Linked DNA regions of Ovis aries. The protein of the gene in region 1 interacts with the protein of each later gene in a biochemical or structural test. Links are inferred from orthologs where the notes say so. Each region holds a gene or a part of one and is shown in the gene's direction. Other genes may lie near its edges.

Region 1 (3,439 bases):
GAGAACCTTGGGCTACTGACGGTGCGCCACAGTGAGAATGAGGATGGTGCCTTCACTGAATGTAACAACATGACCCTCATCAACTTGCTACTTAAAGTCTTTGGGCCCATGCATGAGAGAAACCTCACCCTCTTCCTGCTGCTGCTACAGGTGCAATGCTATTGGGGGTGTGGTTTACACTTCCTTGTCTCCCTCTCTCCAGGGTTCTTACTATAGTTCGTTTCTCCTTGCAGGTCGTTGGTAGTGCTGTCACCTTCTCCATTCGGTACCAGCTTGTCCGACTCTTCTATGATGTCTGAGGCCCCGATCCATTGCCCTTTGCTTCACAGCCTCCGGGGTTACTGACTCAGGCCAACATCTCCTGGACCAAGACTGCCAACTAGCCCAGGCCTCTCCCACCCTTCATTTTCCTCCAGATTTTGTTCTCAGCATTTCCTTTCCCCTGTGATTATTGACACGTGGGCCTGTCTCACTCTCTAATGACTGGTGATTGGACTTTGCCTATGGCTTTCTTCAGCTTGCCACTCTCCCTCTCCATCCCATCTTTGCTGCCTCCTAAGTTGGGGTACTGTAGCTTTTATGCAATTGCCCACAACTCTGACACTCAAGGAGAATGCTGGACTTGGGGACAGAACCCTGGCTGGGGATAGAGACACAGGTTCAAAGGTGACTTGACATTTGACTATAAATTAAGTATTCTGATGATTAAGAGCAGACCGGGGGCCAGGTGCTCCCAGTGGTGACAATAAAGTATTGTCTTTTTCTTCTTGTTCCTATAGGTATATTTCCTATGTGGGCATTGTAGGGTGGATGGGGAAGGTTGAAGGAGGTATTTCCTCGGAGAGGATGCCTATCTCTGTCCCATCCTTTTTTCTTTCTTTCTTTTTTTTTAAGCACATCAGGCGCCTCCTAGCAAGAAGTGATCAGAAAGAACAGACCAGACAGAACATGTTGAATAAATGTGAAATCTGCTGCTTGGGTGGCATAAAGGGCCATAAGATTGGGGTTATCTGTTCTCTGGGGTAGGGTTGGACTTTAAGTGGGGGTCTCATTCCTTCCCTTTTTCACTCTTCTTTTGCCAGGTAGGAGGAGGGAGTGACCAGACCTAGGACGGGAGGCAGAGGTAGTTGTGGTGTTGACTCTTTTCCTTTAAAAATCTTAGGCCTGCCTTGCGCAGACTTCCCAGACGCTCTTGAGGTGGCTTCCGATTCTACCCTTCTTGTCTTCCGGTTCTGGTCTCGGGCTATAGCGTTTAAATCTGGCGCGCTTCACTTGGATTGGCTACAGCCGAGACTGGCTGGCTGTCGGGTAGTCTCTGCGCCTCCTCCCGTGTTCCCCGGGCAAAGGGTTTTCAAATTCGGCCAATCGGCGGACGCGTTCCCTCAACTGGGGCGCGTCACCGAAGAGTTAACCTCAGCCAACCAGAGGCGGGTATTCGAGAAAAGAGCCAATCAGAAAGGCGCGGGGGTGTGCCCTGAGGGGCTTATAAGGGCAGCCCGTGGTCGCGCGCGGAAGCGTTAGACTGCGGCGGGTGGTTGTTCCTGTGTTTTGTTAGCCGTCCTCACCGCTCCTCTACCTCATACAGCATGTCTGGCCGCGGCAAGACCGGCGGCAAGGCCCGCGCCAAGGCCAAGTCGCGCTCTTCGCGAGCAGGCCTCCAGTTTCCCGTGGGCCGCGTGCACCGGCTGCTGCGGAAGGGCCACTACGCCGAGAGGGTGGGCGCCGGCGCGCCGGTCTACCTGGCGGCGGTACTCGAGTACCTCACCGCCGAGATCCTGGAGCTGGCGGGCAACGCGGCTCGCGACAACAAGAAGACGCGGATAATCCCCCGCCACCTGCAGCTGGCCATCCGCAACGACGAGGAGCTCAACAAGCTGCTGGGCGGCGTGACGATCGCCCAGGGAGGCGTCCTGCCCAACATCCAGGCCGTGCTGCTGCCTAAGAAGACCAGCGCCACCGTGGGGCCGAAGGCGCCAGCGGGCGGCAAGAAGGCCACCCAGGCCTCTCAGGAGTACTGAGGGCGCCCGTGCCGCCACCGCCCAGCCCTCCCCTCTACACCACAAAGGCCCTTTTAAGGGCCACCACAGCACTCACAGAAAGAGCTGGGCCACTTCGGGCTCCCGGCCTGGCGGCCGCGCTGTCGCCCCTTCCCGGCCCGCCCCTCCCCCCCGCGGCTGGCTCCCGCCGAAGCCCGGCGGAGGGCGTGCGTTCGAACGCCGCTCGGCCCCGGGAGCGAGCTCGTGACTCGGCCGGCTTGGCCCCAGAATGCCGATGGGCTGCGGGGAGGCCGCGGCACCTTCCGGAAAGCCGGGCCGGGGAGTGCGGGAGGAAGGTGAGTCGGTGCGGACGGTCGCCGCCGAGGCCGTGCGCTCTGCTTCAGCTCGGTGCTTAGTACAGGACTCGATTGTCGCCGCCGGCGGAGTCAATCGGTTGCTTCATTTCGTCCCAGGACCCCTTTTGTTGCCGGATCTCGGGCCTCGCACGTCCGCGTTCCCTCCATCTTCATTCGCAGGCCTGTGCGCGTACTGGAAGAAACCCTTCGCGGCGTGACCGTCTCCAATACTAGCGGGTCCTGGCGGCGTGGGGTCTGCGGGAGCCCTGCCTCCGGGCCCGCCCCTCCTCCCCACTCCCTTCCCGTCGGGTCCATTCCGCCTGCCAAGCACCTAGATACCAGCACAAGTCCGTTAATCCCCGTCTGGACTGAGCCGCCTTTGGCTTCGGAACTGGAATTTTGCAGCTAACCCATCCAAAACTAGTACTTTAGGTATTGGGGGGAGTTTCAGATGGACTAATTTTATTAAAGGGTTTTTTCCTAAAGAAAAGTGAGTTGTGTTCATTTTGCAAAAGGGTTGTAGAGTCGACTCTGTAGATACCTAAAGGTAGTGGGGGAGGGGAACCGATATAAGGCTTTACTGTTAACTGGAGCGACAAATTGTAGATTATTAAGATGATGGCTTTCTTGGCGTTCCCTGGGAGACACTCGATTCTGTCAAAAAATGGGAACTACTGACAGAAGGCGTTTTTCAGGAGAACTTTGAAAGGGTCCTAGCCTCAGAGATCAGGCATAAATAAAGAGTTTTGAGTTTGTCCTTCCTTTTCTGCAGCTCCACCAAAAACAAAAACCACCTTTAAATTTGGTTTATTAGTAGAACTGGTTACATTCAAAGGCTGTGGCTTCTTATTAAGATTTTTTTTTTCTCTAGAGAGGAAGCCCCCTCCTTGCCTCCTGGGGAGGCAAGGCCCCTCGGTGAGACAAGTCTCTGGAAGTCTCTGCCCCTGCAGTTCAATCCTGTGGGGGTAGCCACTCCTCAGGTAGCAGAGGGCTGGGATGTAGGCACTGGACACCAGCAAGGCAGGCACCTGTGCCCCACAGACCAATTAGTGGGCTTCATTGAGCTGCCGTGCAACATCCAAGATATTCTTGGCTCCTTTGTTCAGC
Region 2 (3,648 bases), on another chromosome or scaffold:
TTATTTGTTAACCATTTAGCCACACCTAAATATGAAAAAATATTTAGAGCCATTCAGAATAATCACTATTGTAGGCTCTGGCCTAACAAGTAAATAAAGACAGATTTCTGCTCAAGAGATTGTGTTTTGTTTTGTTTCTTTTATCTTAGTTAACCATGGCTACTCATGAGTATCTCTGATTTATTTCATTGTTATAATAATAATCCTGTGTTTAGTAGCATCTAGATAAATATAATGACATTTTGGTTGATTTTGAATGGTTTTTAAGACTTCTACAGACATGTCAACTTCTGTTTGAATTGTCAGCTAAATCAGTACTCAAATCTTTGTTTTGGGACAAAAATAGTAGAAATACTTCTGTTTAAGTGATATATTACTATGGCACACCTTTCTTTCTCCATCTTTCTTTAGGGCAAAACTAATTTTAGCTGTTTTTTAAGTAAGCCAAGAGCTCTAGGAAGGAGGAATGAGGAAGAGAGTTCTTTCAGAGGATTAGCACTTAGTTTCAGTTGCATTCTAGGCACAATTTGTAATTAGCTGTTTACTGTTGGATTGTAAATATATGGAGCTCTCAAAGTGGATCTCTGAAGTGTGATCTTTGCAAGTGTGAATTTTTAGGATGTAACCTCTCAATATCATGTGTTTTATGAACATGTAAGAAGGCTTAGCATACAGGTGGTAATTAATCTGAAATGAGTCTCAGAAGTCTAAGCGGTTGGCTGCGCAAACAGATGCGGTATATTCCCATAGAATGCCAATAAGAAGAGAAGGAAATGGAAAAGTTAAAGAATAAGTAGGGGAAGAAAAGTCAGTGCACCTGTGGTATCAGAATAATAGTTTGTGAGTTTAAAAGAACACAGCACAACAGAAATTACAACAAACTGTGTTAACTCTAAAATCATCCCATTGTTTTTCTTTTGTAAAGAAATTCCATCTAATGTCTAAACCTCGTTGTACAAGCTAAAGCAGTTATGTTCTTTTCCTATAAGTGGCCTGATTAGTATCTTTTTTCCTTGTCCCTAAATTAGTAATGTGCTTGTTTGGTAGTAGGAAATCTTCTGTCTACAGAATTTATCTGCTGCCTGGTCTTGTTGCAAATCCTTTTTTATATTAAAGCAAGATGAACCTTTAGTCAACAATTACGTATGGTGAGGTATAGTTTTCTGTGATCAGTCAGTATATGCTTGTGATCAGGGTAGGCACTGGAATCAACCTAATGCAGAGGGGATAAATTTACAGACAGGTTGTCGTTGATATTGCTGAAAGCCACATGTGAATGTTCGAGAATAGAGACTGTTCTGTTATCCATTCTCAACATCAGTACTTCAAAATAAGATTGCTGCCCAACATCTAGTCAGTGTTAAAACAGATAAGAATTGGGCTTTCCATAAACCATGCAATGTAAAATAAATAAATGAACCAGTGACCCCAGAAAGAAAGAAATATACTTAGGTTTTTTTTTGCTTAAGGGTCTTTCCTGATGGTCCAGTGGCTAAGACTTCAGGTTCCCAATGCAGGGAACCTGGGTTCAATCCCTGGTCAGGAAACTAAATCCCACATGCTGCAGCTAAGAGTTTGCATATTGCAACCATTCTGCATGCTGCAACTAAGACATAGCACAGCCAAATAAATAAATAAAAGCATTCTAAAAAGCATAGCAGTATTCTATTTGGGGCAGTACTACGTTAGGAACTTCAGAGTTTCTCATCTCTAGCCTCCAGTGGACCTAAAGTCGGTTTATTTTTCTTAGTAAAGCATGTTCATGCTTATGGTTAAGTTGAAATGCTTTTAGATTCCTGCAGTTTCCCTTTTTCTTCTTAATTCTAGAAACATTAAAGGAAACATTACTTTTACAAATATGCTTTTTTATAAAGTACTTTTTCAAAAGGTGTTTATTCCTAGAGAATTTTAAATCAGAAGGTGACTAATAATATATCTTTATTTACCATTCTAAATACAAAAGGATTTACTTATTTTCGGAAAATATTTTAATAAATTTGATTTGATTGAAAGAGGAAAGATTGAGGAAAATGATACACACATTTGGGGAAGAGGAAGTATTTATGCTTAAAATTTGTCCTTGAGAAAGTTATTGAAATAGTGATTTTATAAAATATTAAAATAGTGGAGGATTTTTATTTGATAGGAAGAATGTTCTTGTCTGGAGATGGGAGGATATTCCGACATTTAGCTTTGGTGCACTGCACCTAAAGTAGTGCACAGCTGTGCCTCCTTGTGAAGCTTTTAAGAAACAACACCTGAAAATTGCATATGATTTTTGTTTGTATCTTTGCAAGTTGCCCTAGCCATACTTAGCACATTCCCATATATCCTATTTTCTCAAATCCCAGAACAGCATCTAGTGTTCAGGAGATGGATACAAAGCGACAGTCTGAATTTCCATTGTGACAGAATTGCTTTAGTGTCGCACTTTACTTTTTCCACACTACTAAATATTCAGAAATTAAATATAGAAAGTAGGAAATAAACCCCCCAAGTAAACAATTTTGTCATTTATTCTAATGAAACCCTTTCATTTCCCCAATGGTTAAGCTGAATTCTAGGATAAATTATTTCTCACTTGGTCTTACCTTCTTGTTTTTCAGCCCCTGGAGGAGGACCCATGGCCAAGGCTGAACTCCAAGGACCATATACCTGCCCTTATTCGTAGTAATGCCTTCTCAGAGAATTATTTAGAAGTCCCACCTGAGATAGCTCGAGGGAATGTCCAGGCTGCAGTCATATCCTCAAAAGATCCAGAGCCACTAGAAGAAAATTGCACTAAAGCCCTGACTTTAAGGATACATGATTCTTTGAATAATAGCCTGTCTGTTGGCCTGGGGCCTACCAATTCAACAAACACCATCATGGACCAAAAAAATGTGAAGATACCGAGCCCAGGTCAAATGAAAGCCCAAGAAGTTGAAAGAACCCCTCCGGCAAACTTCAAAAGGACATTAGAAGAATCCAACTCTGGCCCTCTTATGAAGAAGCACAGACGGAATGGTTTAAGTCGTAGCAGTGGTGCTCAGCCTGCAAGCCTCCCCACAACCTCCCAGCGCAAGAACTCTGTTAAACTTACCATGCGACGCAGACTCAGGGGCCAGAAGAAAATTGGGAATCCTTTACTTCACCAGCACAGAAAAACTGTTTGTGTTTGCTGAAATATGTTTGGAAATTTTTTCCAAACTTCTTAAGAGGGCTTTTTTGAATTTGGTGCCGAAGTTGAACTTTTTTTAAGGGGACAAAATAAAAATAGTATGAGTTTGACTTTTTGGAATTCAACAATTTTAGCCTGGCCTTGTACTTGCTTGTATTATAAATGTGAATTTTGTAGATGTTAGGGTGTAAGTTGCTGTAAAATGTGTGTAAATTTGTATCCTTCACACAAACTCAGTCTCTTACTCTGATACACAGTAAATGTAACAACAGGGCTAAAGGTTTAAAAAAAAAAATCTATTAGATTTTAGAAATACATTAAAACTTTTAAAAATGCTTATTAAGAAATTTGTATGTCACTTGTGATGAAAACTACACAACTTTTTAAAGTAAATTATTAAGCAAACTGGAAAAGTGATGTATTTTCATAGTGACCTGTGTCTCACTTAATGTTTCTTAGAGACAGCTAGTGTCTTTTTTAAATTATTT

Evidence for each region. The genes of interacting proteins can lie anywhere in the genome.
Region 2: of the proteins of histone H2AX (region 1) and PPM1D, one has a biochemical effect on the other in vitro, tested with the Homo sapiens proteins (3 studies listed by BioGRID and IntAct). The link is inferred for Ovis aries from reciprocal best matches to the Homo sapiens genes H2AX and PPM1D.

The regions. Positions count from the first base shown.
Region 1 is NC_056068.1:29,402,712-29,406,150, reverse strand, and holds histone H2AX, read left to right. Parts: upstream 1-1,513; 5' UTR 1,514-1,586; coding exon 1,587-2,018; 3' UTR 2,019-2,822; downstream 2,823-3,439. Other genes in the region: DPAGT1 (UDP-N-acetylglucosamine--dolichyl-phosphate N-acetylglucosaminephosphotransferase), read left to right, coding at 1-150, 234-299; HMBS (porphobilinogen deaminase), read right to left, coding at 3,435-3,439. UniProt on the Homo sapiens protein: Variant histone H2A which replaces conventional H2A in a subset of nucleosomes. Nucleosomes wrap and compact DNA into chromatin, limiting DNA accessibility to the cellular machineries which require DNA as a template.
Region 2 is NC_056064.1:12,011,729-12,015,376, reverse strand, and holds part of PPM1D (protein phosphatase 1D), read left to right. Parts: intron 1-2,606; coding exon 2,607-3,164; 3' UTR 3,165-3,648. UniProt on the Homo sapiens protein: Involved in the negative regulation of p53 expression. Required for the relief of p53-dependent checkpoint mediated cell cycle arrest.